Neodiprion lecontei: one gene and its partners. The protein of the gene in region 3 binds, or shares a complex with, the protein of the main gene of each other region. Links are inferred from orthologs where the notes say so. Each region holds a gene or a part of one and is shown on either strand. Other genes may lie near its edges.

What was found.
Region 1: mediator of RNA polymerase II transcription subunit 18 (region 3) and mediator of RNA polymerase II transcription subunit 24 share a complex: the UniProt entries of both Drosophila melanogaster proteins name them as parts of the mediator complex. The link is inferred for Neodiprion lecontei from reciprocal best matches to the Drosophila melanogaster genes MED18 and MED24.
Region 2: mediator of RNA polymerase II transcription subunit 18 (region 3) and mediator of RNA polymerase II transcription subunit 31 share a complex: the UniProt entries of both Drosophila melanogaster proteins name them as parts of the mediator complex. The link is inferred for Neodiprion lecontei from reciprocal best matches to the Drosophila melanogaster genes MED18 and MED31.
Region 4: mediator of RNA polymerase II transcription subunit 18 (region 3) and mediator of RNA polymerase II transcription subunit 8 share a complex: the UniProt entries of both Drosophila melanogaster proteins name them as parts of the mediator complex. The link is inferred for Neodiprion lecontei from reciprocal best matches to the Drosophila melanogaster genes MED18 and MED8.

The regions. Positions count from the first base shown.
Region 1 is NC_060263.1:14,884,979-14,894,885, forward strand, and holds mediator of RNA polymerase II transcription subunit 24, read right to left. Parts: upstream 7,040-9,907; 5' UTR 6,922-7,039; exon of another isoform or gene 6,835-6,921; 5' UTR 6,691-6,834; coding exon 6,559-6,690; intron 6,484-6,558; coding exon 6,358-6,483; intron 6,277-6,357; coding exon 5,943-6,276; intron 5,858-5,942; coding exon 5,435-5,857; intron 5,195-5,434; coding exon 5,011-5,194; intron 4,691-5,010; coding exon 4,315-4,690; intron 4,234-4,314; coding exon 3,788-4,233; intron 3,706-3,787; coding exon 3,613-3,705; intron 3,554-3,612; coding exon 3,263-3,553; intron 3,177-3,262; coding exon 2,729-3,176; intron 2,651-2,728; coding exon 2,504-2,650; 3' UTR 2,226-2,503; downstream 1-2,225. Other genes in the region: inactive peptidyl-prolyl cis-trans isomerase FKBP6, read left to right, coding at 1-29; Parkinson disease protein 7 homolog, read left to right, coding at 701-895, 977-1,138, 1,198-1,399, 1,479-1,657, 1,735-2,082; vacuolar protein sorting-associated protein 41 homolog, read left to right, coding at 9,110-9,130, 9,272-9,409, 9,586-9,868. UniProt on the Drosophila melanogaster protein: Component of the Mediator complex, a coactivator involved in the regulated transcription of nearly all RNA polymerase II-dependent genes.
Region 2 is NC_060262.1:33,291,162-33,298,917, forward strand, and holds mediator of RNA polymerase II transcription subunit 31, read right to left. Parts: upstream 6,103-7,756; 5' UTR 5,940-6,102; coding exon 5,873-5,939; intron 5,647-5,872; coding exon 5,557-5,646; intron 3,770-5,556; coding exon 3,456-3,769; 3' UTR 3,296-3,455; downstream 1-3,295. Other genes in the region: organic cation transporter protein-like, read left to right, coding at 135-382, 636-964, 1,045-1,441, 1,644-1,885, 1,992-2,167, 2,251-2,586. UniProt on the Drosophila melanogaster protein: Component of the Mediator complex, a coactivator involved in the regulated transcription of nearly all RNA polymerase II-dependent genes.
Region 3 is NC_060262.1:34,396,697-34,404,028, reverse strand, and holds mediator of RNA polymerase II transcription subunit 18, read right to left. Parts: upstream 4,469-7,332; 5' UTR 4,207-4,468; coding exon 4,001-4,206; intron 3,756-4,000; coding exon 3,305-3,755; 3' UTR 1,937-3,304; downstream 1-1,936. Other genes in the region: transcriptional adapter 1, read left to right, coding at 4,643-4,713, 4,958-4,994, 5,084-5,317, 5,822-6,025, 6,182-6,330, 6,596-6,758, 7,029-7,160. UniProt on the Drosophila melanogaster protein: Component of the Mediator complex, a coactivator involved in the regulated transcription of nearly all RNA polymerase II-dependent genes.
Region 4 is NC_060264.1:26,415,320-26,422,867, forward strand, and holds mediator of RNA polymerase II transcription subunit 8, read right to left. Parts: upstream 3,797-7,548; 5' UTR 3,459-3,796; coding exon 3,294-3,458; intron 3,201-3,293; coding exon 2,955-3,200; intron 2,661-2,954; coding exon 2,652-2,660; intron 2,431-2,651; coding exon 2,260-2,430; intron 2,143-2,259; coding exon 2,034-2,142; intron 1,853-2,033; coding exon 1,773-1,852; 3' UTR 1,407-1,772; downstream 1-1,406. Other genes in the region: nuclear pore membrane glycoprotein 210, read left to right, coding at 1-52, 228-424. UniProt on the Drosophila melanogaster protein: Component of the Mediator complex, a coactivator involved in the regulated transcription of nearly all RNA polymerase II-dependent genes.

The DNA of each region.
Region 1 (9,907 bases), on a different chromosome or scaffold from region 3:
CAAGTTACGAACCTGCCAGACGAGCCTAAAGACTTATTTTCATTACATCGCCAATTCAATTAGAGTACAATATTTTAATTTTAAGAATATAGTCCACGGTGTTTGGTGTGAAAACTTCTTCCAATGTCCCAACCGTCTGACATCCTTATTCAGCATTCTTACTAGGATTTAAGTTTGATCATAGAGTAGACTCAGCAAGCCAGAAAGTTTTGTTTAAAACTTCACATGCGTCATCCTGCAATGTGAAAAATACACGTGCAAAATTGATATTTGATAATCGCTTTGCTTTATTCAAAGGCCAAAAATGAAACAAGTGAAAATAGTCGTGTTTACGTATTATTTTGCTGATGCCTTCACTCTGCGATTGGGTAAATTAATTATCTGTTACTTCACTTTTTGTTATTCTATTGATCGTTCATTATTATAAGAGATGTTATTTTATGTATGAAAAATATGAATGAATCAATAAATAAAGGAAAGCTATTCATATCTCGGCAGTCTTCGCTTTAAACACACAGTCAAAATTTTGGTATAGACAGATTATTGTGAAAATTTATATAAACGATGTTATATTCGTATTTCGCATTTACCCAAAAATTATGTCAATGGAAAAAATAACCGGGACTGAGAATTATTGCAAAGAAAAAAATACTGTGTCAAAAAAAAAAAATACAGAGAAGCGAGCAGTCACATAATTTAAATGAATGAACTGAAAGAACTGAAAATCGACAATATGATAAGTGACGAAGAAGTAGAGGTGATTGAGTCGACGGACAACAAGAAGCTTGAATTGGACAATTTCAATGATAATGGAAAGCGTGCGTTGATCATTATGCCTGAAGATGCACAGATTTCTGAAATAGTTCAAATGGCCGATATAATGCGAAGGGCTGGGGTGAGAGACTAACTCTGAATTAAGTGTCGTACTTCTTTACTTTAAAAATATAGCAGACCTTCAATTGGCTATTGATTCCAGATCAGTGTTGTAATCGCAAGTCTGGATGATTCAGACTGCATACGGGGTAACAGTAACATATTCTGTTATGCAGACGCAGCGCTTTCTGATGCCTTGAGAGAACCATCGTTCGACGTGGTTGTTCTACCTGGCGGTTTGTTAGGAGCTAAATCGCTTGGAGAGGTAAGACATAAAATTTTGTAAGATTTGAATGATGTAAACTAGATAATAAATTGCTGCAGTCGGAATTGGTTGGTAAACTGCTGAAAGAATTCGAGGACAGCCACAAGTGGATAGTCGCAATAGGAGATGCTGTGCCGGTGCTGCGTAAGCATTATATAGGTGCTGGAAGAACTTTTACGTGTCATCCGCTGATAAAATACAAAATTGAAGGATCCGAATACATGAAGTACAAATATATCGACGATGACGTACACGTGGATGGTAATAATAAATTGTCATCCACGAATTGTATCAGCAAAAGGGGAAACAAATTGATTAAAATTGGATTATGAATTTTCAGGTAAGATAATTACCTGCAGAGGTGGTCCGAACACGATTCAGTGCGCTCTGAATCTCGTTCATTTAGTCTGCGGTCGTTACATTGCTGAAAATATTGCGGAAAAATTGTCTATCAAATATGACAACGGATACTGCAGAGAGTGTTGTGGAAATTGTAAATACTGCTGTCGTGAAGACAAGGTAGCCAACTAATGAGAAATTATAGAATTGCTATTTCAGAATAATTTTTAACTCATTTAATACGTAACATGATTTAGAAGGAAATTGATCCCAATATTGCGGAACGATTTTCGTGCTCGACTTGCTGCGGGGTGAGTTATTCAGAAATTGTCGAATGGGAGGAATGCAGAGTTCTGTCCAGTATGTTGGAAAAAGAATACATGATAAAATATAAAATTCAACGACAAGAACTTAAGGATAGGGAAGAAGACAGGAGCATAGAGGAGAAAGAATTACAACAACAAATCAAAGAAGATGAAGAAGAATTAAAAAAACGTAGAGAAAAGTGGACGAATATGCCGTGCATGACTCAGGTCTTTGATTTTTCACATCAGTCTATGGTTCAAGCTAAAATGCTGGTGCTTACTTTTTTTTCTCACTTGTAAATATCGCAGGCAGAATATGACAGGTACATGCGAGAGTATGCGGAGAGAGAAGAATCGCGCTACAATGACAGAATGCAGAAAATATACGATAGACTACATATGAGACTTAAGAAATCGAGAAGGCACCAGGACATGATTGATTCTATGAGGAACATGGAACCGAACGAAATGGATGCTGCACTCGCTCAGATAACTTAGTAGAGTTAGCAATTTGTAGGAGGAACAGAAAACAAAGAATTTTATAGGTACTTTAAGTAAGTTTTAAAAAAATTGATTTTTTTTTGGCATCAATTTCTTTGTAATCGAATTACTAGGAAAGTAATTATTTTCGATCGATAGAGACTAAACTTAATTTAAAAAAAAAAAAAAAATAATAATTACAAACGTAACAGGATGTACAGGTCATTTTTGTGCTTATATTCTACTTTACAGGCTTCAGATTTATGTTCCGCAGCATGCATAAATCTCTCGCAGTGGCTTTTCGTCCTGCTGTTGTTTGAATATCGTACAACTTGAGTAATAAATCAGTCGTAAATAACTCGGGCAGCGCTTTGAGCAAACATGGAACCTAAAAGAAGAATATCGTTCGGTTTACGAAATAACTCTGGAAATTAAACTTGGTTCACTTCGTATGACCTATTCTTACCAAAGTTTGCGGCATTCCTTGTAGAACGATTTTTGTCCTGTCCTTGCCGCACTGAACGATGAACCGTAGAAATTGTAGGATGAAATGCGTCTGCTGTGATACTTCGCCATCCTTCCCAGCGAGTAGTGTAAAAGTTTTGAACAACATATTCAGCGCAGTAAGCAATGGCTCTCTTAAGCGAATAGACTTCTGCCCGTTAGGTTGTCCCTGAGCCTGAGGAGAGCTCGTGTCAAATATCGAACTCGAGTCCCCCGTTTCGTTCAGTCTCAATATTTTGTTGGCCGGCACACCGATCGCATCTAATTCTTCGCTGTCTAATTCGCACCTTGCACGCTTACGACTGTTTCCTCTGGGTGGGTTCGAGTTGTTGTACTCCAAGGTTGAATAGATACACGAAACGCACAGCTTCGCCAGTACAGAAGACTGAGGTTCGACTAGCTCCTCTCTCCTGAAATTTGGAATTATTTTACTCCCGCTTTTGTTGGAGTAGTTGAGCAATCGAAAGCCGCAAAATATTTGGCACAAAATTCTCACTGCGATCTATTGTAGAGGTACTGAGGTATGACGTGATGCAGCAGGTCCAAGGTGCAGTTTTCAATGTCCAAGTGAAATACTGCAAACGTCAAATCCACTGCCTGATCCAGTTCCTCTTGGTATCTGTACTTCATTACTTCTTTGACCAAATTCGAAACGAACCACAGCGAACCGCCGGTGTTCAACAAAGATTCTAGCGATTGAGTAGCTTCGATGTTGATCCAACCCCTTTGCTGTATTCCATGCCACACAGTTTCCAACTGCTCAGATATCGGCTGCCGCGATATTATACTAAAATGAAATGATTTAACAAGACCTAGGTTAATAACTAAAAAAATTTTCATAATTACCTGTGCGACATTGAAAGCACCTTTGTCTTGGATTGCGTCGGAGGATGAACGTCGTACTGCATTTTACGTATTATTTGGCACATTAGGCTTGATCTGAAAGAGTTTGATCAATTAGGAAGCGATAATTTAATTTCGAATCACCTTGAGTCGACGTGAATAATCGACGCAATTTTACCTTTCTTTGAAATTATCCTGCATCTCGTCACTGGAAATAGGAGTCAGGAATTGTTGAACCATATTCATGGGCTTCAAGAGCGCATCTTGATGCGTTATGCTGACGTGAGCGCAGAGCCAGGCTGCTGCACATACCGGCAAGCAGCAGGCCGCTGCTCTCAGGCCGTCCAAGGCGCGTTTCACATCGCCAGCTCCGAGTGCTCCACTTTCCCAGGCGCAGAGAAGCTCTTTGACAGCGCCCATGGCCGAGCGACAAGCGATGTGCCATTTCATGTTACTAGACTTAAAGTCTGGATCCGGGGAATTGATTTGGGCAAGTAACGTGTCCACTCGAGCTGCGTCAACGTTTTGGAGCATCCGACGCGGGCATTTGGGCTTGTTTCGTTCTGCCATACACTCTCGGACCCATTGTTCAAAGAACGAATCACCGTCTTCTTCAAGAACCACCTGAATAGCCAACAGGAGAGAGAAATTTGAGACAAAATCAAGAGGATTTGGATTTCAATGTTTTAGTATCAGCAAGCTCACTTCAGATCCGTATGTTTGAACGATAGAGCAGAGCATTAGAAACGAAACATCAAAAAGCATTGCTCTTGTCGCAGCCATTTTCCCTGTCACAGCATCGTTTATTTGTTTACTACATTCGTTGAACTTTATCAGTTTAGAGACGAAGGTTTTCAGTTTTCCCTCGACAGTTGCAACGGCCAAGATTAATTCGAAACTCTTTCCAGTCAGTACCTGGCACAGCATGCTCAGCAGTGCTTCCTGAATTTTCGTATAATCTGTATTGAGAGTCTTCAGAATTCCAGCCAGAGTTGGTTCCGCGCGAATTATTACTTTTGGAATTGATGGCTTGGGAGTTTCTGATGGTTCTAATTTCTGTAATGCTGCAGTTACACCTTCTCTGTAATACAGAACAATAAAGTGAAAATTCCGTCAACCATGGAATGTTGTTTATATTTACATATTTGTATATTTATTTATTTATTTATTTATTTATTCATATTATACGGGATTTTGGCCCACTTATAAAATTTTAGCAGTAGAGAAATAGGTGACGCCGACAAGCGCAAGTACATAGAATAGAAAAAAAGAAAATAAGAGTAATAGAAACACCAGTATGCAGAAAAGTACGATAACAGCATAATATTAAGCCAAAGCTCTATTCGAAAGACAGCACCCTGTCCCTGCAGAGCATTTTGAACCTGTTATAAAAATTATTACCGTTGGCTGCTAAGCTGCTTCGCCTGTTTCTCAGTAACCAAATTGACTTTTTGTAATTCGTTTAGCAGGCACTCGATGCAATTACAGGAACAAGCCGTGTCCATGATATCAAGCAGAGGAGTAAATTGGAGCAGCAATTCAAAGGCGTCCAAGATGTCTTGGGAGTACTCCAACTTCTCTTCACCTATCGAGAGAAATGCGAGTATTATTACCATCAAAATGCAATCCTGTATTATTATACGGTATTGTTCTGAATATAAGCCAAGGAATTTTGTCGTTGATAGCACCTGGCAACATCCTCCTCGTCTTATACATAGACCCATTTTATGTGTGGGTAACTAAGAAAAACACCCTGAAATACTGTCTCGGAATTGGGGTCAGCTTATACTCGGAACAATACGGTATACAGAAAATGCTCTCTCACCGCTGAAAGTCGTTACGTTTAATTCTTTCAAAATGTGTGGTACTTTCAAAAACGTAAAAGCACCCCATAGCGACTCTTTGGAAGTTCCGGTTACGTCGTGCAGACACATGAAGCAGGCGCGAATAATTTCCGAATACAACTTGGCGTTGGAGTATCCCTTGATTCTCTGTATCATCAGGAGCTGATTGACCAGAACTGCGGTTTCGGTGCTTGGATTAAGCAAGACTTGAACAGCGAATAATGGTTGCAAGCAATAAGTGATCGGCTCCTTTTTGTTGTTCTTGGAATGCGAAGCCAATGTTTCTATATCAAGGTTGCAAAGCTGTTTCAACGAGCTCTCAATTGGTACTGCAGACTTTACTGTACTATTCTTCTGAAGAGATTCTATGTCCTGGCACTTTTTCACCACCTCGATATAAAGTTCTGAAAAAAGACAATAATGAAAGTTTTAATTTCTACAGGGTACCAGATATTTCTACACCCAAAATCAAATCTCAATCTGTTCTACCTTTATCATCATGCTTAGCTAGGCACATCATGGCACAGAGGAAGTCGGAGTTAATCATCTGTTTCAGAATGCTCGCCGGTTTATCGATCAAATCCGTGGGATAGGTGAGTGATGGATTATTTTGGGGTATTTTGAGCACGTGGAGATAACACAGCAGCAACCAATGCACTATTGAAAGTACAGAGGCAGCTAATAAATCTTCCTCCGGCTTTCCTCGACAGGTTATACCGACTTGAATTGTTTCAAGAAATTCTAACAGGCTTATGATACAGTGCGGCTTGTGAAATGCACCGTATTTGCTTATCCTTTGTAGAACAGCTGCGTAAGACACTAACTGAAAAATGTGATGTATTATTGTCAGCAGATTTTTGGAATATCACCTTTCGAATTTGAGGAGAAAAAGAAACGGGCAAACCTGCGAGCTCAGCGAATGTTTTAAGTACGATAACACCAGTTGATTTGGTCCGGGGCCCACTAAAGCCTGCTGCAGAATGCAATCTGCCAAATTGTAGACATCTCCGCTTACACCTCTTGGTAAAATCTGATAACAAGTGAAATTTAAGTCAAATGTGAAATTTTCACAGCCGTTTGATTACCAGAATTCAGCGGTACGTACAGTTTTTATATTGATTCCCCATTGTAAGTCGTTCCAACGTTCACGCCAAGCCCTTAATAGCAGAGCCTTGAGGCTGCTAGTCTTGCTTGTAACCTTAGTCTCCATTGTTCTCGTCGATAGAGGATTGCGCATAATTAATCAAAAGGTAAATACAGCCTGTCGAGTTTCGAATTAGTGATACTTTTAGCCTGTCATACGTATTGAGACAGGATCAATACATCGGTTGAGACTATTTCACAGTACCTTAGGCGGGTCAACACGACGTTTCGAAAATTGCTGAAAAATCGACGCCATGCATTGATTCATTTTAACAACATTTAACGCGAATAAACCGTATGTACAATTCTTGAATAATAAAATTACGTATTTGTTGTCGTGATTAGGTTAACCGAAAACTGCGAGACGTCATCGCCATCTTGACATCTTCTGTTAATAACAGTCTCAGACAGCCCCTGACACTCACCACTGCTCGTATACTAAAAAATTGTACGCGTTTTGTCCCCTTTTTTTAGTTCCTCTACGTGGCGCTAGTAGACCTTTGACACGCTCGCTCGCTCGCTGATCGCACGCAAGCTTTTTAGACAACTACTAGCGCCACCAGTGGTGGAGATTGGCGGCAGAATCGAGGGACATTTTGCGAACCACTTTTAGCAGCGTGTGCACGGTCTTACATACAGGTCTGGCAACGAAGCCAATTTTCTACAGAGCGGCGTGGTTCTCTTGCTGTCCGTGGTTTTTAGTGTTTGAAATAGCCATGTCGCAGCGCTGCTATCTAGGGATGTACGTGGGGTAGGGATGGTAGGGATAAAAATGTGCCAATAACAATATTATTATTACGTTGGCGCTGCATTGCGCACGCGTTGATTATCTATCTCTCGATCACAACGCTGGCCTGGCGGCCACAAAGTGAGATACATAACCGGCCGTGAAATGAACCACCCCCATTACCTTCGTTGCCTGTATGTAAGACCGTGAGCGTCTGTCAGGGGGCTGACCGTGGTTTCGCATATATGTATATGGGCATTCGCTCACTCACGCGTTTTTATCACGTTATTGTTGCTAGTAACTAGACCGCAGCGACAACTGGTTGTGCCGCTAGAATCGACCACTCCTAAGATTCATAGACTTAAAAAGATAGACTAAGCGCTCCTGTAAGAGGCACTGACAATTACACATAAAGGACAGAGATATACTGGGAGTACTGCTCTCTCTTTTCAATCGGCGTCATGGCGGGAGACAACGGAGCAGTGGAAGTGGAACAGCTATAGATATAGGTGCATAATTTCGCCTCATTCTCCTCTACCGCCTCGATTCCCGCCACAAATATCGTTAGAGAGGGAAAGGAGTACTCCCGGCATATTTCTGTCCTTTAAATGTTTGCTTCAAGCGGCTCATAAGAGCGCTCAGTCTATCTTTATAAATCTATGGTAAGACCGTGAGCCATATAACAGTATATTATCATACAGCATATACTTGCGTGCATTATTCATGTTTGTCACCTAATAAAAATTATGAACAGCATTTCATATTCAATCACTTAATTTTAATGTTTTTATTAGTATTATTCCTATTTTTAAATTATAACTTCTAATTTATGTTTTATGTACAATATAGGTAATAAAATTTCCATCCTTCCATTTATTTTCGATTTCATTCTTACCACTGAGTAGTAGGAAGGAGACAACACTCTGCAATAAAACTTGTCCCCAGTTTTAAGGTAACGTAAGAGGAATTGTCTAAATGCGATTTGAGCGCCTCTTACGGAAAAAAGTGAAATTTTCGCTATAAAATGTAGAAAAAAGGGCGGCAAGCGAAACCTATAAGCCTTCGTTTTATAAACATACTCCGTAAATTCGTAAAATATGCATCTAAAGTGACTAAAAATCAGTAAAAACCGAGTGATTGCTTTTCTAATCTCAACCGACATTAAATCCAAGGAAAAGGTTTGCAAACGGTGAATCGTAAGATCATATGGGGTTGGGGGTGAGTGCGCTATACGGGCTTACATCACAAGAGGTGCTTAATTAAATCCGTGACATGCTCTAAGGTTGAAGCCACTGGTTGAACTGCAAGATGGCCTTTATATGGTCCAGGCACACGATTGGTTCTTGGAGAGTGTTGCGCAGAAACACCCTTATCTTCTACGTCATAGGGTGCGTTCAAATATTAGCTCTCAGTGCTGTTAACAATTTTTTATCTCTCTTCTGCTGCCGAGTCTGTGGATGGCTCTGCCTCTATTCTAGCGAGATTTCAGCGCTGCCAGTTAATTTCGAAACGCACCCATAGTCGAGAACGTTAAATCGCCTGGGACAATTTTGGAACAGCTTTTACCGTCTGTCGGATCACGTAATCATAGATCTGTCATCAGCGGTCATCCCCCTTCCATCCCTGCTGTGCCTTTTTTTTTTCAAATGACACATCTTCGCGTGCTGTACACACGAAACTCGTATGTGTCACATCCATGTATGCGAAGACCAATATTTTGATTCTCTGGCGTGTTGCTGCTGCTACGTGACTGCGTAAAAAAATTATTTGAAAATTTTAACCACAGATGAATAATAGTGTAAATAATGTAATTATCGTTCCCGATTTACGTAGACGTAATCGATCTTCTCCTATTATTCTATGGACAAACAAAATCCCAATTAACTGTATCGAAATCGAGGGTGGTGAGTTGAAAGTTAAAGCTGAAACTACTTTCCTCTATTTTCAGGATCAAGAACATAATCAAGATGATTCAGATTCTGATGTGGAAGAGGTTGAACCACGATTGAAATACGTCCGAATGAGAAATGATCTTGATAGTATCCTCCAAAATGATGCCGCGAGCTGCATCGCTGTTCACCCAAAGGTGCCATTAACGCCTCTTCTGTCATACCTCATATTCCTCACATGTCCGCTCAGCGATGATTCCTTCTCATTTATCTTCCTCGCATTCGCTTTGTTTCGCACGAAGCAGTAGAATGTGCGAGTACGCATCGAGGTCAGGTTAGGGTACAGAGAGTCCTAACGTACCGCTACTTTCAGTTTCTCTGCCTGGGCTCGCATTGGGGAATGATCCATATATTGGATCACCAAGGAAACAGAATACGATCCAAAACTCTTCAAGCCCATACCGTTGCCGTCAATCAAATATCCATAGATCAGAATGGAGATTTCATTGGATCCTGCAGCGACGATGGAAAGGTTGTTATATATGGTCTATATAGCAAGGAGAATAACCACAACATGAGCATGGAAAGATTGGTCAAAAGTATTGCGCTTGACCCTTATTACTACAAAAATGGAAGCGGTAGAAGATTCCTAACGGGTAATGCAGCATTTCATTTTTATCTGAGTTTTTCAACTT
Region 2 (7,756 bases), about 1.1 Mb from region 3:
ATTCACTCATTTATAATAAAACCGTTTGTTATAGTAGGTTTCCACTTTGTAACTATTGAATGATTTAGTACGCAACAGGAAGTGATGGTAGTGAGTAATAGCGAAATAAATTTCGAATGTTATATTGTCTTCAGGACTACCGCGCCTTTTTGGTTGTTCGAGCACTGCAAGGGGTATTTGTGCAAGGGCTACAAATCTCTACATACACATTACTCTTGGAGCTATTTCCAGTCAGATCAAGAACTTTGGTGAGCATGACCTTGCAATTTGGTTGGGCCATAGGGCTCCTGCTTCTGGCAGGGCTCAGTTACGCTGTTGCAGACTGGAGGGTCCTTCAGTTAGCCACATCGGTTCCCACGGCGGTCACCGTCCTCTACATCTGGTAGGATAATCGCCATAACGCCGTGCATACGTCTCAGCTTGTGCTATTGCTGTCTTCATTTTGTTACTCGGTTTGCTTTTTTTACTTGCCTACTTGTGAGCCCCAATTTGCAAGTGACGTGATGTCACTTGAATATTCACACGTCTATTTCTGACCTTACGTTCGGATCCAAATTCAGGATCGAGAAAATCCCTAAGTGCGTTGTTTTAGCAAATGTTCTACATTAGGAAATTTTTTCAAAAATATGTTCAAGGATCATACCAGAGTCACCACGATGGTTGCTGGCCAAAGGAAACCTGACGGAGGCTCACATGGCGTTGGAAAAAATCGCAAAATACAACACCTGCTGCAGGAAGCGCGAGGTCAAGGTGGAGGCCGAAATGGAGGAAGGAAATACCACAACTATCACCGAGACCGTAACGCCAGTGAAACCAAAGCGAAAGTCTCGGGTGTCTAACGTTGACCCGAACGAAACTAAAACGAACGATTCTCTCACCGAGGAGTCATCAGATCTTTTAACAACTCCGGAGCTTTCCGATGGCAGAATAATAGTGGGCCGTAAATTCGTCAACGTCAAAGAAGGTTCGAATCACAAAACCCTTCCATTCGCATCAGTATTGGTAACCAATGACAATTTTTTAATCCTTTGTTTCATTCAACAGAGAATAATGTGCTTACACCGTCGGAAAGCCTGGAGCGAAGGGCATCAAATTTAGAGATGCAGATGAAGTTTGAGATGACTGTTGGGGATGAAGGAATGGAGGAAAGAGACCCCACGCCACCGCCACCCGCTCCTCTAACTCCAAATGGCAAGGACTCTCAATCCAGTAATGGTTCCGACGATAACCAAGAAGTCTCGACAATAATACCGGAGGAAATAGTGGAGCTTAGAACAGCGGAAGCGGTGCCGCAGAAGGAAGAAGAGGACACGAACGAGTCGTTAGAAAAAAATAAAGAAGACGTTGAAAACAAAAGTGAAGTAGCAAATAACCAGACCTTCCTACAACTACTAAGACGGCCAGGGCTTCGGAGGAATTGCATGATTCTGATATTCGTATGGTGAGTGTGACAACATCGAATGAATTGCGTTTAGCTGAGTTTAGAAGAAGGGATCGATTACTTGGCGGAATTTACACGCGTAACGCCGAATAAATCGTTAGCCAAAATATCTGCTCTCTTATAAATCACCCTCTCATCCATTTTACTAAGAACAACTTTCTTTTTTTTCACGAATCAGAAATTGAAGTGCCTTATTTTACAGGTTCAGCGTTTCTCTGTCCCATTGCGGTTTCGTGTTTCAATTGCCAGACATAAGCGGCGATCGACACGTAAACTTTGCAATCGGCGGTTGTCTGGACCTGATCGCATACTCGCTCACCCACTTCGTGCTGATAAAATGTGGACGGCGTATACCTCTCGGTATTTATCTGATACTGAGCGGAGCTACTTGCATCGTTATCGCTGCTATCAGCATGCCAATGCATGAAAATTCGACCTGGACGGGTAAATCAATCAGTTCTGTAAACCGGAAATTTTACCGAAAAATAGAGATAGAACAAAAAAAATTGCACTTCACTGGGGATTTAGTCAATTGTTCAAACTGTTTCAGGACCGACAAAATTAACGCTGATTCTGATAGGAAAAGGAGCAATCGTGAGTTCCTTTGCAGTTACATACTTGTACACGGTTGAATTATTTCCGACAGTTTTGCGAGGTACGTGTTTAGGATACTGCGAAATTTTTGGCAAGATTGGCACTTTGATAGCACCGCACTTCACAGTACTGGTAAGTCTTTGCTAATTGTCTCGCTGCATCGATAGTGATGAGTAAATGGAAAATTGTTGACGGTACGGTTCGTGTTATTTTAGGGTACAAAAACATGGGCCGCAGTACCGATATCGATAATGGGAACGCTGTGCGTTGTGTCGGGAATCTTGAGTCTGGCTCTTCCGGAAACGCTCAACAATCGCCTGCCCGACACTATTGAGCAATCGGAAGATTTATTTAAGAGAAATCGCGTCCGAAGCACCGAAGAGGGATCGGTGAAAAAAACGAACAACAAACGGCGCACGGTACTCGACGAACAAAACGAACGTGACATACTGCGGGAGAAATTATTTAACGACGATAACGATGGAAAAACATGGGTAGAAGCCGGAAATGGAATTATTGTCAATTTTTCTGACGGAAAGAATACAGAGTGAAAATCCGGAATGACGAAGCGCACTTTTGATCGCGGGAATAAATTTTGAGTTGACGATAAGTTTTGTAAATATAATAATATTAATAATAATAATAATACCAACAGTATATGCGTATGATAAATAAATTATAGAGGCTAAGATATACCAAAGTATTTAGCGCTATTTAATAATTGTAGGTAAATTATCGTCACGTAATCGAGTAGTATAGGTATCTTTTTTCGAAGTGCATCATATTTACACCGTGTAAGATTAATGCAGAAGTGGAGTATTTGTGTGGACAATTTTCAGCGTAAATGTACTTTTTATAATCCAAAAGTACTTTGCAAAATTTATTACTCTGTTCCACAATTCAGCAGGGTTTCATGTTTTGAAAAAACGTTGTTGTGTATATATACATCTGAAAAACTGTTCGAAATAAAGCGGACGTGTGTCAAGCTAGAAGGATGTGAAAAATTTGTGAAATTACACTTTTTAACAAATGCATAGGAAAACTATTCAGCTACCGCCAATCATTCAAGGTTTTATGAAATGACGAACTAAAGAGCCTCATAAAATTTGATATTTGTGTGGCAACCTTTTTTTTCTAAGCATTCTTTAATGTAAGCCTTGAGCAATGGAAGTACTTAAATTCTCTGTTGATCAAAAGCTAGCCTGATTAGCTAGTTCATTGGTAGAATTCTGATTATGAATGAAGATATAATCCTCGAGACAAGTATAAAAGAAGTCTTTATTTAAATTTAAACAAGTATTCATTACATTACGAATAATACGGATGAAAAGAAAGGAACAAAATGTACAGTTGAAGTTGTTAAATATTATTAACAATGTGTTTTAACACCTAAGATTATTAACAAGTTTTTTTACAGTCTCTACGGTACTTTTGGCTGCACCATACCGTTGTTTTGCGCATTATTGGGCTGTGTTTGCTCTGCTGCTGTTTGCAGTAACCTTGTTCTGCGTCTGGTGTAATGCTGCCATAGCAATATTTGCTGATCATCGATGAATTTTGTGCACTGAGCGTTTACGACTTCACGTCGGAAATGCTCATACTGCAGTAAGTCCAGAAAATAGAGGCACATCGGGTACTTCAAGTATTTAGCATATTCTGGCTCCTTCCAGTAAAGTAGATACTTCAGGTAATTGATGAAGGTGGAATCTTTGAAATATCCTCGCTGGCCCAGAACTGTGCCAAAACAGTAATGAATTATAATCAAAGTATACAGCGAAGGGTTTATACATCTTGAAAGTAGATGTCTTCAAGTCTGTTGTCTCCGCTAATCCTTTATGAATATTTTTCAGTGTTCCGTTACTGTCCAATTTCGCATCCAACACATTCCAACAGCTACTCAGTCTCTAGTTTCCAGATATTTTCTGTGATAAGGCTAATTTCTCAAAAACTGCATCTTTCACGAATTGTTCGTTTTGAATCTAGTTTCTTAAATACTAGAGAAGAGTATTCTAATAGGAGTAGAAATTTTGGTGTTACAAAAAAACACCACATCAATTTCAGAAAACTATACAACCGACGGATATGAATAAAATAATTTGATTGTTTCAGTTTATCAGATGATTTTCCTCCTCAATCACTTGGAATCTTTGTGCCAGATTAATTGAATCTTGCAGAGAGATTGAATTTCAGAACTAAATAATTCATAACGTGAATTATGATACAGCGCTGACAGACAGAATCCAGTGAAAAGCTACGCTACCCATTTTTGAAGATGGAATGATAGGAGCAGACCTGTGATAAATAACTACTACAAATAAATAAAACGTTCTATAGCAATTTTATGATGTGTAGGAAGTTGCCCAATTGAATATGGGATCCTGAAGAAAGGTGAGAACTTCGGCACTGGTATAGCAGTTCCATTGAAGAGTCGGCCAGTACTAGGCAGAACTTCAGTAGATAGTCTTGTTCTCATTTCTCTATCACAAGAAATTACAGATCGATTTCACCTCTTCAACTTGCTAAAACTTCTGGGAAAATTCACAAACAACTCTCTTCTTCTGTATAATGCGCTTATAAAAAGAATTGATAAATTTTAAATTAAATCGTCAAATTGCCATAGAATGTTTTACGTAGTTATTATATCCTACACTTGCGATACACGTTTCCTCAGATCAAAAAATTCGCTTACATTTCGGTGTAACGAGACTTTTCCACTACCCAACCATTTTATTTTCGAAATTAACATCTGACTGGTAATATCTAGGCGATTTCTATTTTACCAGTACAATTTGTATCTTCTGTCAAAATTAATAAATGATTTTCAAAACGAACGATGGTGTTTAAGTGCGGACTTTTGATGATGAAAAACAAACCCCGCCCATTATATGAATTACAGGTATACACTAATCAAAAGTGGGACAGATATTTCAGGACAAAACGTTAAATTATCATTGAAGTTCTGCTTACTAACAATCATTGACATAGCACTGATATTCAGCACTGAGTGTCGCGTAGTTGCACTAATCAACAATAGCATGACCTACTTAATTGCCCAGGTAACAAGTCATTCTAAATAAAGAACCCTGCCCACGTTAGGCAACTTTCCTTTACTAAAGGATCTGGCTGTGTTCTAAATTGTGAATCTTTTGCGACTTGGATCAATTTGAGTTACGAGGAAGATGAACTTTGAATTTTGGAAATATGTGGTGCGTATTGATGCAAATAGTTGAAGAACATGAAACGAATATTGATTTAATAATTCAAAGTATTTCCAGAATGACGTCAGTATCGATTGAATTTATGTAACTAGGAGTTCCGTTGAATCGACGATGACTTCAAGTTTAACATAAAACGAGGATCTAAAATAAAATATTTACCTAACGATAACTCCTTCTAACACATTCTTAGTATATCATTAATTTTTCCATCATCAACATACATATTTACAACTGGGGAGTAATGTCAATGACCTAAGGTCAACAGCTGAAAAGTACAATGGAGATACGAAGTTAAAAACTTACAATTTAGATAGTTTGGATTAGCGAGACATTGGACAAATTCCAACTCAACCTGAAAGCGAAGTCGCTGTTGGTCATCGGTTTCTGGCCCACCTGAGATAAATAAAAACACTCGAATGAGGTTAGACGATAAAGGTACTATGTTTATGTTATTCGTAATAATTTTTTTGATCTATAGCTATGTGAGAATTTACGCTTAATCACGAACCGATGAATACCTTGCTAATACGATCACTTGTCGCGGGATATTTTTATCTTCAATAAACGTCAAAATCGTATCGTCTGTCATTTTTATTTACATATTTTTCAATCTACCTACCGTTCATCCCGATGTAAGATGTTTTCCTTCCCTTAGTTAGGCCTGGGAGATCGTCCAAGCGATTCATATTACACGAATTCTTGATGTTCGAATATTTTTCGTCTCTTGATGACTAGGCACTCACTTATTCCAACTTTGATAAACAATACGATCCTCAAAGTAACTCCGAAGATCAACAAACTCGCAGCGGTTTCATGACGCCATGCGAAGTCTGATGCAAGGTCTGATGCTTCGAGAGCCACGCGCACGCGTTAAGTTGGCGGGAAAGTTGCGCACGCATACCGCAGATTTCGGAACGCAAATCGGGACAATTGGTCGCGGAGTGCGTGGGTTTGAGAACGTATACGAGGCGCAAAACTGTAACGCTCGTCTTCAACTAAGAACAATCAAGCATCAAGTCCACGCGCAAAAAGTGCGATAAAATTTTGGTAATACATGTTAAATGTTTATTAAATTCAAAATAAAAAGGTCTTCGATCATTTAAAAATTCACGACAATTGCTAATAAAAAAACCAATCCATAAACGAAAAATGAAATACACAAACGGTATGTTGGATTGCCAAGTAATTAACTGGCTAGTTATCTGAGAGCTGTATATATCTTGGAGTAAATGTATGTACACTATATGACCATCGATTGATGAATTTATAACTATATCAACATAAATTATGATATAGCCACAACAGTAAAAAAAATTTGTATAATGTATTCAGCTATGAACACCCAAAAAGTTCACACATAATGCACAATTTCTCCGCTTACAGAATCATTTCGATGGAATTATAACAGTGCTGAAAATTTCATATAGACTTCGATAAGATATATAGGAGACGCTATTTAAGCGTCAGCATTTTACTGAAAATTTATATGATCTTGTACGTTCAAGTATGGTTTTCTATTTTTGCTATCCAAATGTGTATAAAATATCGACAGACAGCTCAGGAACGTAAGTTAAGTCAAATTTTTGTACAACGCTGCCATACCCTGATCCTATAAAGGTTAGCGGTCCTTACATGCCTCTAGTCTACGTGAGAAAGAAAGATAGGTAAGTATCATGCACTTTATGTATTCTTTTCTGAGTTCTCTTGAGAGCAATATCTTCCAGAACACTGCAGAGTGTCTCAATACTTCATGAAATTGCAGAGTCAACAGTATATGGTCCTCATTCGTGTAATGGCAGCTATTTTACAGAAACGTGAAACTTAGGGGTTTCAAACTGTTTCCCGTCATTCAATTGCTTTAGTCATTACCATTGCCAATATAATTATTTCTCCTTAATCACTGATTTGAGGGCTTTAGCCCCAACTTATTGTTGGTATTGGCGCGGGGAAAGGTCGGGGCAATCCTACATTGCAACAAGTACCAGACCTGTTCTAATTCACAAATTGAAGTTAACGAGTAAATTGCCAGAACATTTAACATCCCCAGTATTTTCAATAGACAGCATAATCGAATGAAAAGTGTTGACGGTTACATAAGTCTATCATTTCATCTATGTTTCAATAGAAATGGTAAAATTCTGGCAAATGACATTATCGTTTCTTTAATGCCATCATGTCATTCAGTAGAGAAAAAAGAAATGGACCATTACTGTGCCAGCGTTAAACCACTTCGGTAACGAGCATGGCATTGAGTCAAAAACTGCACGTGCAGCTTACCTATCAGCTGATCCTCGCTGCACTGGAGTCACCGCCGAATCAGGCTCTAGTCAACAGCTAATCATGAGCTTTGCACTTTTTCACACTACACTCTTTTGGTCTGACAATTTCAATGTCCGTAGTCATGTACGTATCATTTTTTCACAACAAATAACAAAGAGTATTCACCCATTTATGCTACATAGTTGGTTGAACATTAAATGTAGCTGTCATTTGTTACGCAATT
Region 3 (7,332 bases):
ATTCTTTCATGCACTATTTTGACGTAATTTTGCGACAGAAGTCGATTGGGCTAGGGCCCTACCCTACCCCACCCCCCCAACCCCACCCTACTCCTACTTCTACTCCTACTCCCGATCTTTCTCCTATTCCTACTCCTACTTCCGATCCTACTCCTAATTTTACTCCTACTCCCACTCCCACTACCACCCCTACTCCTGATCCTGATCCTACTTGTATCAATACCTTCGAACGAAGTACTCACAGTGCACAAATCCTCATCACTCTCGTCCACCTACGACCACCGCTAATCACCTCCAACGACCACCATTGCAAAATTGCCATTAAATATTATGAAAATGTTTTACTCACCGTGCATAAATAGCCGACACTACCGACACTACGTTGGCTGTAACTAATATATGTATACATATAGACTACATTACTCATTATCTCATATACTACTCTTCAGATGTTACTTAAGACAATGTGTATTGTACTGCTTCACCCTAAGATAATAGTCAGCTTTGTTATGTAATGTTCAATCATTCTTCTGTATTTCCTTTCGTGTACTTTAATAATATTTGGTCACTTGTTCACATATTATAAACTGACACCCGAACACTTATACTAGGATTAAGGCGTAATAAATGAACCGAAACTAAACTGAAACAAAACTTTCTCGCTATGAAGTCGTTATTTGCCTTTGCCGTTTTGTTAACAACCTGGTGCAAATTTCATGTTGTTCGACCATTCCTTCTAATCCGTTGTTCGCAGCGAGTTGAGACTGAGCGTAATCGAATCATCTGGAAAAATTATGTTGATATAATAGATCAGAGAATTGATTCTAGCATCATCCGAAATCATCGAACTTTTATAAAAAAAACCTAAAGGAAGTAGCCTTACTTTTTTGAGCAAAAAATTTGTATACTCTAATTCCCTACGCAGAGAATGGACGGTCAGAAGAATGAGTATCAAAGGGAAAAAATAGTTTAAATTAATAACAATTGTTATTACTTTTAACGTTCAAGAAAACACTTTTGAGTGTAAAATTGTTATTCCTAGAAAGTCGACCCTGAGGTCTGCTGAATGGTAGAATCGTTTCTTCCAGAGTAATTGTAACTGAGGAAATAAACGGGGTTGAACTTTATGAAGAATGAGTTTTATATATTAACCTTCTTGTAATATAGAATATGAATCGAGATGCGAGTTTCTGATGTTTCTCAGATTTTTCGCATAGTTCCGCAAGCAGAAACATATTTGCGACATACCGGTGGTAATAGCCACATTGATATATAATAATTTTTTTCAAAGATCAGTACTGGATAGTTGTTGGTACAAAATCTGCCCACTAAATTTCACTATAAGCGTCGTCAGTGTTCCTTTTACACCTATGCGTGATTGGTTGCAGGGATGCCCAAGATCCACTAATCGATCGGCGATCTTGAAATGTAATTCATAGAAAGTTATACTCCCTTCACTGTCTTCGGTGTTTACAGAACACCAGTGCCAGTTTATTTCAGGCAGGAATTTGTTTACGTGGAGTTGTCTCCTTATAGTTCAGTAAAGACGTGTTTACACAGTGCTAGAAATCGGACCGATTTCTCGGACCGAAAAAAAGTTACCAGAACTCGTATCGCGTATACAGCAAACTTGGACGTAAATCGTGGATCGAAAACGCGGATGAAAAAATGGATCGCGTCCCATTATTCATCCGCATTTTCGATCCACAATTTACGTCCGAGTTTGCTGTATACACGATACGAGTTCAGAGGGATGGGCGATGTTAGTATAAAATAGCGACATCCTATTGTCGATTGTTTTAATTCTACTACCAGTCTACTATCGATGTTCTTTTAAAAACATCGGAACATCGATTGTTATCATCGGTGACGAATAAAAGCGCGAAAAATTCAAAAATTTTAGATACAATTGTAGACAGAATAATGAACGCAGAAATTTCAAGTTTTGAATTATCATTATTATTCAAAATAAAAATAAAATATGAGAACTAAATATAAATTACATTGGATAAAATTAAATTATTGAAACATTCTAATTAACAGTGAGAAATTTAATAGAAAAGTTCTATAGATGAGTTACCGACAGATGTTGGCACAGAAATTCAATTTATTCCTGACATAATGATGTCGATAGTCCAATATTTTCCATCGATTATCGATATATCGACTTTAAAACCCATCAATCAAAAACATTGATACTCGAAACATTGATGTGGGTGCATAATCGTTACCTGATCGACAACGCGAAGCCATTTGAGTTATCAATATCCACGGATTCATTTTCAATAACGCAACTCTCGACTCTCCATTCCCAGTTAATCTAGTTAAAATGGCCCGAGAATTTTGCATCGGTTCTTTTCTTTAACCATTAAGGATTATTTACTAAACGATTTAATACTAACTAATTTTTTTATTTACCTTCCAGCATTTACAAATTGCTAGACTACCTCATAGTACTTTTTTCACTCTGCCTTCCTAACTGGGAGGAAATGGTTAGTCAATATTAAAAGGATATCAAGTACCATTACCTAATCCTTAAAATTCCGGTTGAAAGGTACGATCCAATGTGGCTTACAATTAGTGACCCTTACACTCATTATCTCTCTTCACATTGTTATTTTGCTGCCCAGCCAATCTCATACTGCATCCATTAGTCCTACATCCCTGAGCAAATGATTGGTATAGTCCTGCCTTATCATAGACATAGTACAAACTTTCAACCATCCCTCAAATTACATGCTGCAGGTGTTTGACAATCATAACAGATTATCAGGAAATCACGTATCTTCTAGTATCCCTTTTATCATGCTCATCACACTTTTGCAATAATCACAAGAGTTCATATTTATTGAGTTCGGTAGGTGTTGGAGATTTAAAAATGAGATTGAGTTCAATTTCAGTTGCGAGTACTTATTCATTATTTTAAAATACTTTACTTCATTCGAAGAGTTAAAAATTAGTAGTTTCTGTATCATAACATGACTAATTGTAGCATCGATGTCGGATCTTTATTGGACTTTGTTCAATACTTTACAAATTCATTCTAATTTTATGGATCTGATTCAAATGTAAATATCCAATAGTACAATATAAAAAATCTCTATGGGTCATTGCAGTAGGAAATATTGAAATAATACTTGCATAAAGATTCCTCTTGAAAATTCGCAATAAGAGAACTACGATGTATTATCATTTCTGCTATATAGTTCTCGCACACTGAAATCTGAAAAGACAACATTGTACCCAATTGTATATTAGGAACTATTCATCAGTGATTCATTTATGGACACTGATTCTAAACCCCCTAATGACTCAGTCGTTTATAATCAATTTTTTCAAGCTGAACTAAAGGTCTTAACTGTTCGGCGAATATTCTCATGTCTTCAGCTATTGCATCTTGTCCACGTGGAGCAAGCACGCTCAATTCGACCAAGTAGCTTTGAGATATGGGTTCTACATTATCCGGTATTTTCACTTGAACCATTTTAAATATTTTTGCTACAGTTACTTTCATTCTACCCTTTCGGAACATGTATCCCTGTACAATATACTCAAAATCTATTCTACATCCCAATTCTGTGAGGAATTCAACAACTGTACTGCTTGTTGCAATGTCTATACTGCTTCGCACTATTGTCGGTCTAGACTTGTCACCTAGCTCGGGTTGTCCGATGTAACGTAGCTGCCAAGGCATATCCTGATGATCTAAGGCTCTTCTCACCCTCAGCGACAATGGTTGTTCTGGCGGAGGACCTCTGAAAGGTTAAAATTTATATTTGAAATGCTCTTCTTTTTTAAAACACAAAGTAAATTTTTAAATTTTGCTGGAAGAAAATAATGGCTCATTATATTATTATCGTGAAATATAAATTGTCACAATAGGCAAGTTACAATTTTAAAGCCGCATCTGAAACCTAGAAAATATGCAAACAATGTGAAGTACTAAGCACTCTGGGTGAATAACGACAATGTATACCAGCAAAAAGAGAATGAGATTTACCTCCTGATACTGAAACACATTTCATGATCACGAAAAGTCTCCGGCCTACTATCAACGTTATCGCACAATCCTCTCAATCTTTGCAATAAGACTTCCACCGCACTGTCCATAACCGAACCTTGCAGAAGGTATTCTTGGTTTGGTATTATATTCGACTTTACAGCAGCATTTAAGCTGTCCATCGCTGTACTTATTTGACTTGCCATTTTGGCAGAGTATTTAATTATACTTTCTACTGCGGTATGTTAATGGATTTGTCGCTACAGAATGGGGTAAATTGTCATTGTCCGATCGTCGTATTTGGTCTCTTTGCGAGGTTAAGTCACTGCAGCCTGCATACAGTCAATTTTCCCTGTTCCCAACAAATTGTCAACAATCATTGTCGCCAACCTTGTGATTGAAATTTATTAAACTTTGATGCGCGCGCATCTGACGCACTCAACGTTCACAAATCTGCACAAAATTGCTTTCTCGTTTGCACGCAACAATGTCACGATGTAAGAGGAACAATATAACAACTTTATACGATCGTGTTAGTGAGTTCGCTTATGTTGTTAGGTGTCGAAATGTCAATGTAAGAGTCGCGTGCAAATAGATGTCTGTTTATTGTCACAAAATAAATTCGAACGGTTCGATTGCGGTATGACATCGTCGAAAGAGTTGACCGTAGCAAGAAAAAGCCTTGTCGCATCGCTAGGTGATAACGCAAAACTGTAAGTTTGTTTTTATGTCACTCAACATTATGTGTGCAATGTGTGTATACAATTTGAGCTCAATTACCTTTTGTAAATATTGCGACAACCTGATCTTGGTATGATACTGTAATAACTGATTATACTAATACAGCGGTTAAAAACCTTTCTGATCTGTCACTTTGAATTCACCCTTTACTGATTTCCTTGGAATCGCAATGGACTTTGGGTGTACACATACTTAATTATCATATTGTGGTTACAGGTACTTTGAAAAAATGAAGCTGTGGTTTCAGATGAAGGTACACCAATATCTTACCTGAGTCTTGATATCCAAGAATCGTTTTGCTACTTTTTTTTTTTTAATCATACACTTATTTGATTTTCTCAGACAACTAAAGAAGAATTTGACTGCGAGGCGCGCAACATTATGACTGAGGATCAAGTCCATTTGCACAATGAATTTCTACTCTGCTTGTTCAACAAAGTACAGGGGTTAGCGTCTGTGACAACAGTCCGAACTAACAAACACAATCATACAAATGCTCATCTTGATAAAGAAAAAATGCTAGAGAAAAGGCTGCGATTGAAACGAAAATATAAAACAGACAAATCAAATTTTGAAGTAAGAAGCTGTTTTGGAATAATATTAAAAAATCCGTGATTAACCATATAGTGCCAGTACTCGGATTCAGTTGAAGAATATTATTTTTTAAAACTGCTATACATATTTCAGTTAAAATTTTGTAAAAATTTAGTTTTAAACATTTTTGCCATTAATTACCTGTCGATGAACTTATGATTTCAAGACCTTAGGATACCAGAGAGCCTGTAACTCTCTTCCAAAATGTTTGATTAAAATTCATGAACTCATAAATAAAAATTGCCATTTTGCCAAATTAGTGAATGTGCGATAGCAGGCACTATAGTGTTAAATGGGTATCTGTTAGGAATTTGATATTTTATTGCTAACATATAGAAGTATTCATTCATTATTGGTCTCTGGAAATATGTATAAAGTGGCCATAAGGCTGTGTCAAATATTTGAAAGCAGATATTTTTGTATGAAAAAAAAGCAAATACAACCTGAGAAAATTTATGTTAAGAATATAAAAGCTGCATATTTCAGCCTGCAGATGTCTACGTTGAAGTCTTGGGCCAAAGTTCGTCGCTGGTTGGAGACGAACCTATAGGTGCCAATCATTCCAGCGCGCAAGAGCTTTTGCTGCCAGATCGTACCTTCGTTTTAGCTAGACTAATGCTTGCTGCATGGGAGAATAATATGGATGGAGCTGAAGAAAATACAGCTCAAATAATTATAGCTGCTACTCAGGTACGAATATGCTATAGCTACGAGTATTTTGCTATACTGAAGTAATCAGATTGTGCAATGTTCTGGATTCGGGAAAGTACATTGTTTATTCTATTCTTCAGTCGGTTTTACCCATGATGTGAGTGAAAAATAACAACCCAATTCTCATACTTACAGGTATTTCTCAAAAATATACTCACAGCCGTAATAACTCGACGGAAAGGTTTCTCGGTGCGAGAAGGATCATTTATTCATAACATAGGTGAACCAGTACCCAGTTCATGGACCAGAAATACATCCTACATAACCAACACGTCAAATTTTAGGTACAGCATAGATTCATATTTATGAATAAAATCGGAATAGGCTGGAAGTAGGGACTAATGTTACATTTTGCATAAGATCGTTACTTTAGTGCTTATTCCCTTATTTCTGAAATTTTTTTGTACCGATTTGACTTCTTCGAATTTCAATCATAGTTTAAAGCCTCCTATTTATTTTCTAATTTGATAGAGTATGTAAAAGGATAGTGCTAGATTTTCCGTAAATTTCATGTGTGCGTCTATAACGAATAATATATGAATTATCCAGTATGGCTACAAATATAGTGGAGCCTGAAGGACAAGTACCTGCAATGAAGCAAACACTCGAAGAAGCGGAACAAGCAAATGCATTTGCATTGGCATGTTCAACACAAACTACCTCACCGACTCCCGATCCTGTTAATGTGGCTAATCTTCAAAAAGCATTGAAGGTATGAGTTTGATGAATATATTTGTTACGGTGTGTTAATTAAATATGCCTAAATATTCGGATGAGTATAACAACAAACCAATTCTTGGAAAAAATAACAGGATATAAATTTTGAAACTCACAACTGTTTACTGTCTTGAATGAGATCATTAATCTTACGTAAATACGTTGAATTAGTGAAAATATAGGACATTTCTCCAATGTTTTTCACCAAATATTTGCATCACTACACTGTTGCATTATGCATATACTTGACAATATTTGACCATAGATCCACAAGAATCTCATCAACAATCATACAATTTATGCAACTAATATGGAACGTCTACATACATATGCTACGCACCCAACCTGGGAAGATTTGGAGGCAAGGAAAATACTGTGTAAAAATTTAAGAACGTGACAAAAGAAGTAGAATTTAGAGTAGTGCAAAATAATTGTTAAACGTAAGTTGTTCTGTTGTTTTCGTTTGTAAGTTAATGGCAGATTTCGATAGTGGAAGAATTATTGGTAAATCTAGGAGCAAAAATATTGAGGTTTTGATGGTACCAGAATTGTATTAACTCACAAAAATT
Region 4 (7,548 bases), on a different chromosome or scaffold from region 3:
GGAAGTAAAATGATGAGCATCAACATCTCAGTGAAAAATAAATCCATTTTCGGTAACTACCTCAACCGCTGCTTGTAAATCGATTTAAGTATTGTAAGGCAGTCTTATACGTCAATAAAGTTTTAGTTTTTCTGCCTTAATTTACTTAAACTTACAGTTGTTCACAATACTTGTTTTGCGACCCTTGTGCTGCATGGAAAAATTAATTTTTTCTTTTTTTTCAATAGCCGAAAAGTGTCCACCGCCCATAAAGAAAACGTATACGCCAACTTCACCAAGTGGAAACAAAGTTACTAGCACTCCAAGTCCGGGGAGTGCAAACACATCGCTAAGACCTTTCTCAGCGTTTGAACCTGTATATGGAGATCCTCGGGGATTTTACACGCCTAACGCTAGGCGAAATCGATCCCTACTTAGTCCTTAGTTCTAAAGAAAAAAAAAAATAAATAAAAAAAAAAGAAAACTGGTAAGGACATTCTTCAATAATTTTATAGTTTACTGGTTGTTGAGTGGTCAATTTATCAAATGATAGTTCGACAAGACTGACGAACAATGAAACTCAGACTTCATGTGTTATGCAGTGAAATTTTCCGGTAATTGATCACACATGTTAAAAAGTGAAACAATTTGATCTGACACTATTCTCAATTTTGTTTTTTCGCTTTCCTGATCTTGTCTATTAGTGATATCAAGCTATTCTAATTTTCTCACCTGGAACGTTTCTAAAAGATTTTGTCTATATCGAAAATTTTCATTGATGTAATTATTTAATTAACATTGACGCAACTTATGGGTCTGGGTTTCAACTAGTGACAATTGTTGATCAAAAGGTGACGAATATGTGACTTAATTTTATTTATAATAGACTATATTTTCATACGACAATACGCTAGAATATAATGAATGACATTTTGAGCGTCACATTCAAAATGGTTGTTGAACTATACTAAGGTCGTTTTCAAGTACGTTACGTATGTAGATGTACGTATGGTGAAAAGTAATCGAAGTGTAAATACTTTTTGAAATGTTTTTGTATCGTATTTTAAGATATAACTCAGGTTAAAGGATATATATTATTCTTAAGGCGTTGAATAAAAGATCGTACTATAAAGCCTGTTAGATTCTCCTTCCATCTGACAAGTCAATAAAGATAGATATAATATTCTGGTCAATCACTTTGTCATTGAAAAATCTTTATTTTTATCATCGTTCCTAAAATTCCCAGTGTAAAGTTGATTTTAGAATGAACTGATTGTACGCACAAGACGGGTATCCGTGAAAATTATACTTCATTTGCCTTGAATGGAGCAGTTTATTCATCAATAACAAGTTCGGTGTAAAATATTAATGTATTATCTTTTTTCACTTTCGCGAAATGCAGGTGATATTTAAAAATGATGAAATTGAACGTTTTTGGCGCACTTGTGTGTACACCTATATTTTTAATTAGGTAACATGTGAGTCAGTGTACATCGTCTGCAGTCTACAGCGTGAATAATTAAAGTAAAGATGCTCACTGAAACGATACATTTTGTAATATTTGAATTCTGTTGAACTAGAAGGCTGAAACTTTCCATGTAAACGAAATATCAGCTTCAAGACAATTCACATCTTCACTCTATCCTCAATCTTTGAGTCAATTGATAAAACTTTTATAATAGGAAACAAGGATATTTTCACCAAAAACACTATGCAATACTGGATTTCATAGTCTTCCTCATATATATGACATTCAATTGAGAAAAGCGTACAAAAATCTCCCGACTAAACCTCTAGCGTCCATATGGATGAATCTGTGAAGCTGCTTTAATGTTGGTCTTGATTGCGCTTGGAGCTTTTCCCATTTGGCCCACTGCAAAACATTAAATGTACACAGTTCTTGTTAATCAGTGTGGAATTTATCCTTAAAACAATAGCAAACAAGGTAAATTTATTTATCCAAAATACTGTTTCTTTATCAGGATTTGAACTACATTCAACAATTCCAAGAGTAATTTGAAGCGTGCAATAGAAGTAATGTTTATACTGTGCACCTCCTATTTGTCCTTGCCCAGCAGCTTGTGCCTGGCCACCAGATCTCCCAGCCATTATACCCGGTGGTCCTGGACTCACTCTGGACTGAGCCATCGGTCCAGAATCAGACTAAAGAAAACAATTGTTATTAGGGCGAAATATCAGTGACTATGGCATCGCTAACATGATAATAAATAAGTGCCCACTATGGATGAAATAGGTTTGTGATGAGTGATCAGTAATTACCTTAAGGCCTTTACCCATGCCAATTGCAGCAACTAAGGTGTGAGTATCTGCGGAACTGCTAGTTTGTACCTGGGCAGCTCTGGCACCAGCTTCGCCCTCCCATTCTTCTCGGGCCTTGTATGCGATGTCCCATACATGACTAACCACCTTGTTGTACTGTGCTACTTGTTTCTGAAAGTCAATTATGTTACTGTTAGTACCGACGATTTAGCGTCTGCTGGTGGTGAGTTCCAATCGCCAGATAGACCGATTACTTGGAGGACATCGAGCTGATAAAAGGTTGCCAATCACAGCTTGCGTTACCGATTTGATAATCTGCTTTATCGGTGACATCGGTCTAGAGCGAATGGAACAAAAATGAAATCTCTGACCAACTATGGTTAGTGGCTTACATTGGAATCCTACTTGTTGTTTAGTTTGCATATCAACAGAGAAATAGAATAACCTCTGTAGTTTTTGTGGTCAATGTATTATATTCTCGATACAAACTCGTCAAGATAATTTTACGAACTAGCAGCTTCCGAAAGATTCTCAGATTACACAATTGTTTTCATTAATTACACGAATATCAGCAAATATTTTTTCATGTGAAATAGAACTGTGAGCAAGGGGAGCAGAGTGATCGACAAAAGCGCAAAGGAAGTCGAAACAGCAAAGAATTTGCATACATCTGTACTCAGAATGAATAAATTTACCTGTGATGCTTCGAAAGTGAGATTGGAAGCCTTGAGCTCTAGGTGATTCATCTTCTGCTCAGCCATCGGCTCCGGTTTTGTTCTCAAATAGTCTGGTACCAAATCGTGGGCGAATGTTGATATTCTACCTTCTGTCATTCGGAGCAGATCCTCATCCTTTTCCGGACTCAAGAGCAGTGGCAATATCGTGAAATTTCTCATATTTGGTGCCTTATCGTGGCCAAGAATTTTCGAAAGACTCGTCAGCTGCGGATTAACAACGTTTACGATTGTTTATTATTTATTAGTTATTCGTTATCTCGGCTGAAAGTGATCATTGAAATTCAACCAACTACTTACATGACCCGAAATAATAGCGAAGTTATCGAGAAAATTTGGCCAGTTCAGCGTCTCATATTCGTGCTCCAGTTTGTAAAGCATTCCGGCGATTGCAGATTTTAGATCACTTACTCGCAGAATGATCGCCTCCAGAGCAGAGTCCAACTGTTTTTCTTCTCTTTGCATTTCTACAGAGGACTTGAACTTCGATGATCGGATTAATTATTACAATTTACCGCCGCTGTCAGCGTTTAGACGTACGTACCTTGGTCAGAATCATTCGAATCACTGACCTGTACACTAGAATTTCCGGATAGAACAGCTGATCGTGCTTTCGAGATAGTGTCGACATCTATGCTCAAGTAGTCGCAGCGTGGAACTAGATGTCGCTCATGCGTCAAATTTAAAGTTAGTATCTATTAGCTCCTGATTTGTATTTTCTTCTTGAGTGCAAACAACATGATAATCTATCATAAAAGTAGAATTTTCAATTCTCTTACTTATCCAAAGTTTTTTAAACCGGGACTCAGTTTTTCCCGAAGGTATCACTTATTTCAAGTTAATTTTGCGACCATTCATTACAAAAAATGTAAAATCTGTTTACTCTTGTATATCACAATAAATCGTTTTTTTTTTTTTACTTTTAGAGAGCATTGACAATAATACGGAAGAATATAAAAATCTTACAAATCCGTATTATGCTGTTATAGTTCACAGTAATGTAGATGAAACTAAAACATAAGGGTTCATTTAATCTCAAATACAATATTTACTTTGTTTTTATTTTTTAAATCATATATAATCATGGGATAATAATTGTTTCCAATTACAATTGATGCAAATTTGATTAGAATAATGGTAAATTACTTGTGTTCTTGTTATCATTATTATATTATGTAGAACTATTTCAATTAATCTTTCTCTTCGTTTGTATACGCGTATATAGAGTGGTTCTCCCCGTAGAGTTTTTCAGATTAAATATATGTTGATACGCTTTGTAATTACACAAGTGATAAAATATACATAACAATTGTTTACACTGTTGGTCAACTTTGGCTACATATATTGTGTGTATCTACTTACGCGTTTATATGCATGAATTTCGTTTTAAATCGTTATATCTTATGTCAATATCGTCGCATCCTCCCTTGCGACAGACTCGAATTGATATTAAATAGTTACAGGTGTAACGTAAATGGCTGCTTTTTTTCACAGGGTGAATTTTGAAATGCCATCCAGAAATGAATAACTATGTTACGATGATAGTCAAATGAGACTGTTACGAATATCTTTCTGCCAATTAGTATAACCATGGTTATACGTATCATTGATTTCTTTGTGTACTTGAACGAATAATTTAACCACACAATATTATACTTTCACCCAGACGTTGACTATACCAAATTTTACCACACCCCTGCACCTGTAACGAAACAATTATCATTTTATCATCAAACCCGTTTTTACGGCGTACACAAGTAAACCATTATCTATTATTATTATATTCACCAAATCGTACAAAACTTTACATAATATAGGCGCATAAATATTAATTATACTCTCTGATATAACCAGACAACCCACATTGAAATCATTGTTATAACAAATACACTCTTTGAGATTTAATAATCTTTTGCACCCAATTGTCATTTTTTCACCCTCACATAATAATATTTATATAGCACATCCTGTTACCTCGTCCGTCGCTACATACATTAGATATCATAACATAACATACGCTCATATTATAATTATAATTGAAACGACGTAGTTATTACGTTTTCCTCATGGACAGCTTGAATAATATTAATAATGGTAAAAATATCAACCATAATCATGACTACGATAAATAAGCGCAACGAGGCACAAAGTACTAGTCATAGGGGTATGTCGTTTTATTACAAATGTGTATGCTTCGATTTAAAAACAAATCTAAATGGTGTCTTTAGCAGGAGTATACATCAAGCAATTCAACACTAAATAAGATTTGTATAGAATAATTAGTAAAATTTGAATTTCTGAAGCATTCAAATTGGCAATATTGATCAATGGTATACCAGGTAAGGACACATGGCGATTGCAGCGTACCATCGAGTAACTTGGGGGATTACAATTTCGAAATTCTATTATCTTTGTGAGGAAATTCAGAGAAACTTACACATGCATTGTTTAAACTGCGTAACAGAAATAAAAAATCAACAATGGGATTCGAATTCATGATTAGAAATGTATAACGGTTGTTGGACAACAATAGACCGTCTCTTTAATGATCAATGAAGATCTGCACACTTTTTGGTTCATGTGCTCTTGGGTTTCCTTCGTACACGTGTATCTGATTCGAGTATAACGTAAATATACATCGCAATACGAAGAGCACGGCCATAGTTTTTCACTTTCATATAATTTATTACTTCTGTTCAGCCACGCACCCACCACGCTGCACACGTGTCGTTTAAATACGCACAATATTTACATGACGCGCGATGGGTCATGCAAATATTCGCGATACATATCAACACATACATTGTTTACTTTATCATCTATCTAATATTGTGAGATGGCTTATTATACGTATATAATAAATCTATGTGGTTTGTTAATTAGTAATTACTTCACAGCAGTTTAGTTATGTATATTACGAATGATCAATTTGCAGAAATCCAAACGTACAACACACTCGCCAGTTATACACGCGTATACATAGGTATGTACATACATATAGGTATACATACTATATGCATTACAATAATGCACTATTATTACTATTACTACACATACGGGTGCTGTAATAAAAACAAACTTCACGCTATGTATTCTCAGCATTAAAATTTATAATTGTTATTTCCACACGTTTCTGCTTATAATCAAAAAGCACTTTGCTCAACAAATATTCAACACTCGAAGAATCAGATTCCTTTCTATACAGATGTATACATGTACAGGTAGGTATCTAAATACGAATATAATAGGGTTTATAAGAAAATAATCCGTACTATATATTTTTTTTTCCCCTTCAACTACTCACGATGTATCGAAAATCTGAACAATTTCTCGTCAACAAATGATTTTGTTCGGTTTTTATAGAAAGTGTAGCGATGTTTAAAAAAATTTCCTTTACAGTAATGTGTATTATATATGGTATTAGATTGGGAAAAAAAACTACAACAACAAAGTTACAGTCAATTGAAATTTCGACTGCGCCTTACAGTATGAAAAGTTTAATTGTACACTGTAAACAGCATAGTTGACAGGTAGAAGGTGGATCATCAATTTTTTGTGTTTGCTTAAAACACCTTAGTATATAAATATGTGTACACACATCCAATATATGTATGAATCAGAGCAACCGTGTTTGTCATATATTAGAATTTTGTACCATATGCTAAGTGTTATGTAATAATATTTTCTTTGATATTATCCATAGCTTATCATTTTCTCAAAATCACACTCAACTGTATTTATTCTTTACGCATGATGTTTCTAAATATATGTATATACCAGAGTAGACTGATTTAGACCCAAATTAACCACATACATTACTATATTATACCTTGACATATAATATCCATGCGTCTAGTTACTGCAAATTCGAACTTGACATTTTTATCAATTATACTGTGGTAGAACTGCAGATTTATAATCTATATACATATGAAGGTACTTTAGTGTTTAGCAAATACCAAGCAAACAAGTATATTTACGATGTATACACACACCTGCAGATACTAGAGATCAAGATTTAATAAAGTTCTCTGTCATCGATTCTCGACGAAGTCAAAATTTTACAGATAATATAATATATAGATGATAGATGTTGTATTGTATGCACGCATGTATGTATACAGGGTGTCCCTAAATTGCCTCCCACGGACTAGCCAGCATAATACCTCGTTAAAATCCAACCGAGAATTTCTTTTCCGGAAGCTTGTCCGACGCATAGTTTTTGAATTATAAGCAATAGCGCTAGGCCAATCAGAGTGCACCATTTCATCTAGATTTGCCGCCACGGAAATTGCTGTTTTGTTCGCTGGGTGAATTATTATTATTTGTTTACGAATTAAATATCGGCACCTCCCCTCTCTCGCTGCTATACCCCTTCTCGGGCGCTGACCTCGGTATGGTTGCCGGGGCACACGCTGCCGGCCGCACATCCATGGGCGCACACTTGTGTGTGTAAACAGAAGCGCATCCTCAAGCATAAGGGGTGCAGCAGCGAGAGAGGGGAGGTGCCGATATTTAATTCATAAACGAATAATAATAATTCACCCAGACGAAC